Linked DNA regions of Caenorhabditis elegans. Each later gene encodes a partner of the first gene's protein in a complex. Each region holds a gene or a part of one and is shown in the gene's direction. Other genes may lie near its edges. The genes, in order: cap-2 and cap-1.

What was found.
Region 2: cap-2 (region 1) and cap-1 share a complex: the UniProt entries of both Caenorhabditis elegans proteins name them as parts of the F-actin capping complex.

What each region holds. Positions count from the first base shown.
Region 1 is NC_003280.10:10,867,278-10,871,476, forward strand, and holds cap-2 (F-actin-capping protein subunit beta), read left to right. Parts: upstream 1-1,918; 5' UTR 1,919-1,953; coding exon 1,954-1,956; intron 1,957-2,004; coding exon 2,005-2,122; intron 2,123-2,171; coding exon 2,172-2,265; intron 2,266-2,313; coding exon 2,314-2,427; intron 2,428-2,479; coding exon 2,480-2,630; intron 2,631-2,682; coding exon 2,683-2,787; intron 2,788-2,832; coding exon 2,833-2,958; intron 2,959-3,036; coding exon 3,037-3,138; 3' UTR 3,139-3,550; downstream 3,551-4,199. Other genes in the region: gmps-1 (putative GMP synthase [glutamine-hydrolyzing]), read right to left, coding at 1,061-1,114; cyn-4 (Peptidyl-prolyl cis-trans isomerase 4), read right to left, coding at 3,552-3,757, 3,807-4,185. UniProt on the Caenorhabditis elegans protein: F-actin-capping proteins bind in a Ca(2+)-independent manner to the fast growing ends of actin filaments (barbed end) thereby blocking the exchange of subunits at these ends.
Region 2 is NC_003282.8:7,227,905-7,232,347, reverse strand, and holds cap-1 (F-actin-capping protein subunit alpha), read left to right. Parts: upstream 1-2,124; 5' UTR 2,125-2,125; coding exon 2,126-2,206; intron 2,207-2,318; coding exon 2,319-2,444; intron 2,445-2,498; coding exon 2,499-2,939; intron 2,940-3,103; coding exon 3,104-3,268; intron 3,269-3,609; coding exon 3,610-3,645; 3' UTR 3,646-3,926; downstream 3,927-4,443. Other genes in the region: D2024.4 (DUF19 domain-containing protein), read right to left, coding at 1-29, 79-220, 268-441, 741-936, 995-1,100; D2024.5 (Mid2 domain-containing protein), read left to right, coding at 4,042-4,165, 4,210-4,324, 4,369-4,443. UniProt on the Caenorhabditis elegans protein: F-actin-capping proteins bind in a Ca(2+)-independent manner to the fast growing ends of actin filaments (barbed end) thereby blocking the exchange of subunits at these ends.

The sequences.
Region 1 (4,199 bases):
GAAGAAGATGACAGCAAAAAACAAAGAAGAGATAGTTGAAAAGTTCTCTCAGCACAGAAACTGAAATCAAAATCAAACAATGTGAGAGAGAGCGAGAGAGTGGTGAGACGTAGAGATTGAAAAAAAAAGAGAGAAACAAAACCAAAGGGAACCTTTTGAATGACGACAAGAGGAAAGGAGAGAGCAGAACCAGTGCTGTAACAGAGAAAAAGAAATAATGACGAAAAAGATAAAAGTCAGGAGAGAGAGAGAGAGAAATGGTGGAAAATCATATTAAAGATAATATTTTAAAAAAGTGCTGCTGTACTTGGAAAAATTGCAAAATTTTTCAACTAGACCCTAGTTTCCTAGTTTTCCAGCATTTTAGTGTTCGGCTGGGAGAATATAACTACGATTTCGTCGAGGAGAATTTTCTACCAAGAAAATATATTTTCCAGTGAAAAACGCTTATCCCATGAGAAAAACCAAGGAATTCTCACTGAAAATTGTGATAAATAAGACAAAAACTGCCAACAAATATTAAAATATACTCGGTTTTTAGACGAAAACTATCAAGAAACGGCGCAGTAATCCTGAAAATCAGATAGAAAGTTCTAGAAAAGCCGGTATAATCTGAACTCCACGTCAATTAGGTCACCTAGTTTCGATATATCACTGGATTAACGTGAACATTTTTATTTATTTAAAAAGAAAACCCTTCAGGTTACAGGAAAATTAGCTTTTTTTCGCGAAAAAACATGTAATTTGAGCGCCGAAACATATGGTGGAACCCCCCTTGAACAGAAAAGTCGGCATGTGGCTTTAGTGACAACTGATCTTTTGTCTTCAGAGGAAGATATTGTGATTCTAGAGAACTTTGAACTATTTGGAGTCGGAAAAAACAGAATGTAGTTGCGGAGAATGCAATAAAATTGCAATTATTTCTTTTCTTTTATAGTGACGATTTCAGGGAAAATTGTAAAAGCCCTTTGCAGCGATAAAATAATTAAATTCAACGAAAATTCAAAAAAGAAATCCATTAGCAAAGCGGCAAGATCAAAAGAAAAGTACAAGTTCTGACCGTGGAATGTTGACTGTCCTCGTTGATGTCCAACATTGAACTCGATCTTTTCATAGTATGCTCACTGACTTTCGAGACGGCCTTTGTTCTTTTTGCACGCTGAAGCTAGGTTATAATGATTTGAAGTCAATGGAAAGTGGAATTTTTTGGCAATTTATAATGAAAACCTCCTTAAAACGCACGTTTAAACGTTGAAAATGCTTTTTTTCGTTTTTTAACGTTGAAAACCAAATCGGGAGCCAATTTACAGAAATGTGCGCGAATTTTCACCCAGTTTTTCAAAATTTTCACATTTAAATACTCACTTCAGATGGAAGGTTGCGGCAGTGACGTTTACTCTGACGCGCTCCAATTTTGACTCGTTTTGGCTGCAATTACTGAAATAACAAAATTTAGTGGATTCGGTGTTTTCTCGGAGATGAAGCGATGAGAATGTACAGAACACGGATAAACTTGCGATGAAAATTTCATGTCAATTAATTTAAAATTAATTTTTTCGGTTTATTAACATAAAAATTGACGGAAAAAACTTAAATTTAAAAGCTCGAAGAAAAAAACAAAAATTTGAAGAACTCTGGCGAAACGCCAAAAGCTCGCGGGTCTCGCCGCGATTTGCCGACGAGAGTGACTATGGGTACGGTGGAGGGACGAGAGAGTGAGAGAAACGGAGTGTAAAATCAATGAAGTGGTCGCTCCGTTTCGCAACTTTCCTGCTTTCTAATGGCTTTTAAAATATATTTTTGCGAAATTTAATCTTATTTGTGAACTAAAAAATCATTACCCAATCGTTTAGAGTCTTTTTATGTTTTTAATAGGTTGTAACGACTTAAAATCTGACATAAAAGTTTATTGTTTCAGGGAGCACACCCACATCCGGCTCGAAACTATCAAAAATGGTATTTTAATAAATATTTTAAAAACAATTTATAATAAATATTTACCAGGGAGAACAACAGCTCGATTGTGCCCTCGACTTGATGCGAAGACTTCCTCCACAACACTGCGACAAGAATTTGACGGACCTCATCGATCTGTGCCCTCATCTTGTTGATGATCTTCTCAGTATGTTTCCTTTTTAACTAATTTAAAAAAATTCGCTTGATGGTTTTAGGCACTATCGATCAACCGCTGAAAATCGCCGCGGACCGTGAGACCGGCAAACAGTATTTGCTTTGTGACTACAATCGAGATGGCGATAGCTACAGGTATGAGTCATTTTATTTGAAATCTATCGATTTTTTCTGATAATTCAGATCACCATGGAGTAATACCTATGATCCACCACTCGAGGATGGACAATTGCCATCGGAAAAGCGCAGAAAAATGGAAATCGAGGCAAATGCCGCTTTTGAGTCATACCGTGATTTGTAAGTTGACAGAAAAATCATATATTTGCTCATAAATAATAATAATTTCCAGATACTTCGAGGGAGGCGTCTCATCAGTTTACTTCTGGGACTTGGATAATGGAGGTTTCGCCGGAATTGTGCTCATCAAGAAAGAGGGAGACGGAGCCAAAAATATAACAGGATGTTGGGATTCTATTCACGTTATTGAGATCACGGAAAGAGTTGGTTCAAAAACTGTTGAAGAGTTTTTTTTTTTAATTTATAATTTTCCAGGCACGCCAGGCTCACTACAAGCTCACCTCCACTATCATGCTGTGGCTGCAGACAAACAAAAGCTCCAGCGGTGTGATGAACCTCGGTGGCTCCCTTACAAGACAGGTTTTGGTTTCGAGTTGTGAATATATTTAAAAAGAAATATTATAGCATGAGATGGATGCACCAATCAACGATCAGAACACACACTTGGCTAATATGGGACGAATGATTGAGGATCAGGAGTCGAAAATGCGTCTGACGATCAATGAGATATACTTTGGAAAGACGAAGAAGGTAAGCAAAATGCAAATTTATTATATGAAAAAAGTTTCATTTTTAAAAAGTACAATTTTCGAAAAAAATATTTTCCAGGTGATGTCGGATCTCCGTTCAACAGAGAAGCAGAGTGAGCTCGAGAAGCAAGATGAGATCGTTCGCGAGTTGAACAACGCCATGGCTAACCGCGGAAACTGAGTGATCTATCTACATTTGCAGCTCAAAATCTCTCATTTTAATGCTTTATTTGCGAGTTTTGTATATTTATCTACCATAATACCAGCTTGTTTCTTCTTTTAAAACCTTTTTTCATTGCCTTTTCTCGAGTGTAAACTTTTTTTCTAGAATTATTAAAATCTCTTTTCCCACAATTTCTCCTCGCTCCAAAGTGTATGTGCTATGGCTTTTCCACAATTTATTACCAAAATGCCTTGATGTTCCTTCCGAGAAGAGCTTGAGCTTTTCCTGGACCATTTTCGTTCTAGGTGCTCGTTCGACTGTTTTGTATTTTGCAATGTAAATTATCCTCTTTAAGATTACTTTTCATTTCAATTATATTTTCGATGAAAGTATTTTATTCCTTAAATTTAAAAAAAAAGAGAGGGTCTTCATCACCACTTTGAGAAATCTCCAAGGCCTGCTCTTGCAAATTTAGTTTTCTTTGCGGCCTCCAAGGGTACATCTTCCATTTTTCCTTGTCGTTTATTCACAGCTGCGGCCGACTTCATGTACTTGCCGACTCCAGTTCCAACTGCTTCTGGTTTTGTTGCAGTTTCTTTAGCTTTTTTATTTGCTAATGAAGCTGCGTCCTTAGAAGCTGAAAATAGATATCATTAGTTTTAAAATTAGTAATAGAATTAAGAAACTTTTCTTCAAAATCTCTGCTCTCTCAGCTTGAACTTCTTTCTCAGCTTCTTCAAATGGATCCACAAATACTTCAGCTCTCATAATAACAACTGAAACCATCGGAACATCAGTTCCCTCTTCAGTTTCCAACTTTTCAATCGTCGTTAGTGTATCCTGTCCTCCAACAAGTCTCCCAAAAATTGTGTGCTTTCTGTCCAAATACTTGCACGGCCGGAATGTAATGAAGAATTGTGATCCGTTGGTGTTAGAGCCCTTATTAGCCATCGAGAGCACACCTCGAGCATCATGGGAGAAACCGGAGATGAATTCATCTGAGAATGGCTTATCCCAAATTGATTCTCCACCATGTCCTGTACCAGTTGGGTCGCCTCCTTGCAGCTGAAATTTTTAAT
Region 2 (4,443 bases), on another chromosome or scaffold:
TTAATATCGTCTTGAGTCGGAGTGCACATCTAAAAAATAAACAAGCTGTTATATTCTAATTTATATCATTATTTATACCTTAAAAGTATATCTATGAATATTATCAGTTGTGGAACACTCCTCCTTCCCCTCGTTGCTCAAAAATTTTTTAAGCTTGTTCAATTTGCTCTCATTTTCTTTTACGTTTTCCTTAACGTTTTCGCACAGAGAGCAGAATTTACTGAAAAGCCAATTCCTATTGTTAGTTTATATAAATTGCAAACCAACCATGTAGTTTTACCACCGAGCATCTCTCTCAATTGGGAGTTATAACTCTCTGGACACCATTGAGATGGACTAGTTACGTTTGCACAAATGCTCTCAACTCCACGAAGATTTTGAATCGCGTCTTCTGATTTGCAGGGAACGTTTTGGCCAAGTTGCATAAATGCTTCAATGTATCTAGAAGAAAGAATGTACCATTTTTTTTTTCTATTAGACTGTTATCGGCATTGCTTTACTTTGACGGTTTAGTTTATCGAAAAAAAATGTTTTCACTAATAAAGTAAAGAAAACTATGTTATAAGTGTGTTCAGTTCGCACTTTTCATGAAACCAAAAAACCCGGGAAACCCCCGTCGAAGAGGTGTAAAGAGGTGCAAGTTTAATAGGGAAAAATACGGAATCTATTACGATTTTAAGAGATTTGCAGGATTCAATTTTACGAATGAACTCCAGTCTTAAGTTTCAGCTCTAACTTACGGATTCTCGATAGGTCTCAGCATCTTAAAGCTGACTTTAACTCTATAGCATCCAGGGAAATCAATTTGGCGAGTTTCTCCATTAATATCAGTAATTGTTACTTCATCTTTTTCTTCATCTTCTTCCTCTGGATTATCATTCTTCAACATTTTCATTGTGATCTTCAACGAGCTCTCGTCAATAACATCGGAATCCACTAAACTTGGTTGTAAATTAATTGTAAAACCATTTAATTTTTATTTAAAAGAACAAACCATTCGGACAACTTTGTGTGACATTTTCTCTAACTTGAATGTGAACTTTTCGGCATGTTGCCAGTGCTAAAACAGTTAGGAGTAGTATGAGGAATCTGAATAACATCTTTGAATATTCTGAATTGTCTAACAATTTTCTTTTATAGCATTTTCAGTTGATCGTGATCATCTTGACCTAGTTATTCGAACAACTAGAATATAGCAAATCCGTTGTTGCCGGACTATTATTAGAAGAAGAGGAAGCGAACACTTTCCGAAAAAAGAGTGGAATTGTTTGCATTATGAACAACGTTTTTAAAACATTTAACCGGAATTTTTTAGATCCAAAGTTTTTTATTCAGATTAAACAATTTAATTGATCAATTCTGAACTATTATTTCAAGTTTGAAGCTTAGCGTTTTCTGGTTCATCAATTTGATTTTGCAGTTTAAGAAGCAGAGGAAGGGAATTCCCGAAAAAAATGCATTGTTTGTTTTATGAACAACGTTTCTATATAAGTCGCATTGATTGAAAGATTGCAATGTTCAAATTTCGGTTTTTTTTCTTGGACTGAAATCTACCGTACCACTTCCAAAATTTCGTGTTTCTCGAATTATATTTCAGACGCAAATAATTAATATTTCTCGTAGCACAGGTTATTCTTGGCTTTTCGACATAATTTTCTTTCAAATTTTCATTGACATGCTCTCAAATTTCAAAGATTTTCTTCTCTAGAAATGCTCTCACATCTAGTACATATTCTCTCTTCCAGCGAATTTTTCACAAATTTTAAGTGTAAATAATGTAATTGAATTCTGAACATGGTTCAAATGCTTTTTATTTTATAGACTATTTATTACTCATTTTTTATAACTGCTTTAGTGTGCTTTCTTTTTCGCTGAAGAATAAAAAACATTTCAAACTAAATATCTCAAGTAATCTCTATCCACTTTCCGTGTGGTGTCTCTCGAAAACGCAAGCGCGCTCTACGGCTAAAATCGATGCGCTCATTTCTCTGTTTGTGATTCATTTTTGTTCACTCTTTTATTCAATGAATCACCACTTTTATTTTGTCAATCTTTATTTCTTTTTAGTTATTTGATAGAAATATATTTTTAAAATGTTTATAAGCATAACTCTTTCTCGTTCAGAATGTCGGAGATCAGTGACGCCGAAAAGGTCCGCATTGCTTCGGATTTCATTAAACACGCGCCACCCGGCGAGTTCAACGAGGTAATTTTTTGTCGATTTTTAGGAGAATTGCTCGTTCAAGCTTGATATTATAGTCATCAAAAAATTTATATTTCGCAATTCACTTCAATTGTCAATTTACCTTTCCATTCAGGTATTCAATTCGGTTCGGATGCTTTTGGAAAATGATGATCTTCTGAAGAACAAATGTGTTAATGCTATCGCTCAATATAACGTTGGACAATTTGTGCCAGTAAAGTTGGATGGTGTTGCCAAGCAGGTATACTATTTTCATTTTTTAAACTTTCTTCAAATATTTAATTATTTTCTTCAGACTCTGATCACTCCATACAATGATTTGGGTAATGGACGTTTCTACGATGAAGTTTCAAAGAAAAGTTTCAAATACGATCACGTCCGTAAAGAGGCCGCAGATCTTCAACCACATCCAGCCGAGTCTGGAATAACCGAACAATGGCGTCAAGCTCTTCAAACTCAACTCGATATATATATTGATGATCATTACGCGAAAAGTGGAACGGGAGTGGTTTTTGCTCGAAACGGAGTTTTCACGATTTGCATCGAATCTCATCAATTCCAGCCAAAAAATTTCTGTAACGGAAGATGGCGTTCGGAGTGGAATGTGCCGGTTGGCGATGGTAAATCAGGATCTCAGGAGATGAAAGGAAAAATTTTGTCGCAAGTTCATTATTACGAAGACGGAAACGTGCAGTTGTTCTCTGAGAAAGAGCCGGTTCTTAAAGTCAATGTTTCGGTAAATTTTTTTTTCCATAAATTGATCCAATTTAGAAGGATAGAAAAAAAAGTTTTTCATAAAATTGTGAAGAACAAAATAAAATCACAGGAATCATTTAAATTATATTTTTCATAGAGCTATTTAATCGAATTAAAAATTGGCATATAAAGCCCTATTTTCAGGCTGACTTCGACAAAACCGCCAAAGAAATAATTCATGCCATTTCCGAGGAAGAGACTATATATCAGAATGCTGTACAAGAGAATTACGCTAATATGTCTGATACCACATTCAAAGCACTTCGTCGCCAATTGCCAGTTACTCGCGCTAAGATGGACTGGAATAAGGTATCGTAATTTCACAATATTTCGGAATGCCTTCGGAAAAGTGCACAGATTTATTCAGATGGGTCTCGGTGTTTCTTATTTTTCTGTTAACAAATGCTTCGAATCAGTTTTATATCCCTTGTCATGCAGACACAATAAAAAATAATTGTGATTTGAAAACTAATTTAAAAAGAATTTTAACAGAAACAAGAGATGAAGCCGACAAAATTCTCTAAATGCGAAGTAATTTCTTTGAAAAAGATTAAGCAAGGGCTACCATAATAAATCTGTGCGCCTCTACAAAGGCATGTCAAAATTTTCAGAATTGATAAAATAAAAAGAATAAATTAATTTTAATTCAGGCTCAAACCTACCGAATTGGTCAGGAAATGAAGTAATCACAAAATCGTTATCACATCGCTTTGCTTCAAGTTCGTCTGCTGGTCTTCATCATCTTCCTAATCCTCTCCAAAAACCAAAAAATCCTCCAATTTCGACCTTTATTTCTCCCACTTTCCTTTATCCTTTGGCCGGACACTAGACGTGCTTTACAACATAATACCCTTCGTTTGCTCCGCTGCTTCTTTTTTCATGATTTGATAATTTGTATCATCTATGTATCTAATTTTATTGTATGGTATGATTCATTTTTCAATTATATATTATTTGTGTGTGTGTGATTAAGAATTTTCGAGATATTTTCTGATTTTAGAAAGGTCGCGCACCTTTTGATATATATTTAAACGAATTAGCTAAATAGTTAATATGTGTTCGTTTAATTGAAGAAAATTCAGATGCAAAACCTCACTGAGGTTCTCAATGCGACTTTATTGAGCAACTTGTCAGATTTGGTATCATCGACAAGTACGGTATCAACCAGCACGACTACAACTACCACGACGGAAATTCCATTGACTAGTAAGCTTTCAGAAACATATTTCTAAGATTACACATTTTTTCAGCATCTTTTCCTCCAAGTGATCATACAACTGCAACGTCGATCGCCTTCATTTCCTTGGTAGTTTTTGGAGTAGCATGTGCTCTCATTGCGAAAATTGTGATAAGCCATAAGAAAAAGTGAGTATCCTTTCGATTTATAAAACATTTATTCTCAATTTTAGGAGAGCTGAATTAATCGGATCAGCACGATGGAGAATTTCTGCTTCAAGACAAAGCGCATCTTCGGCTTCTAGTGG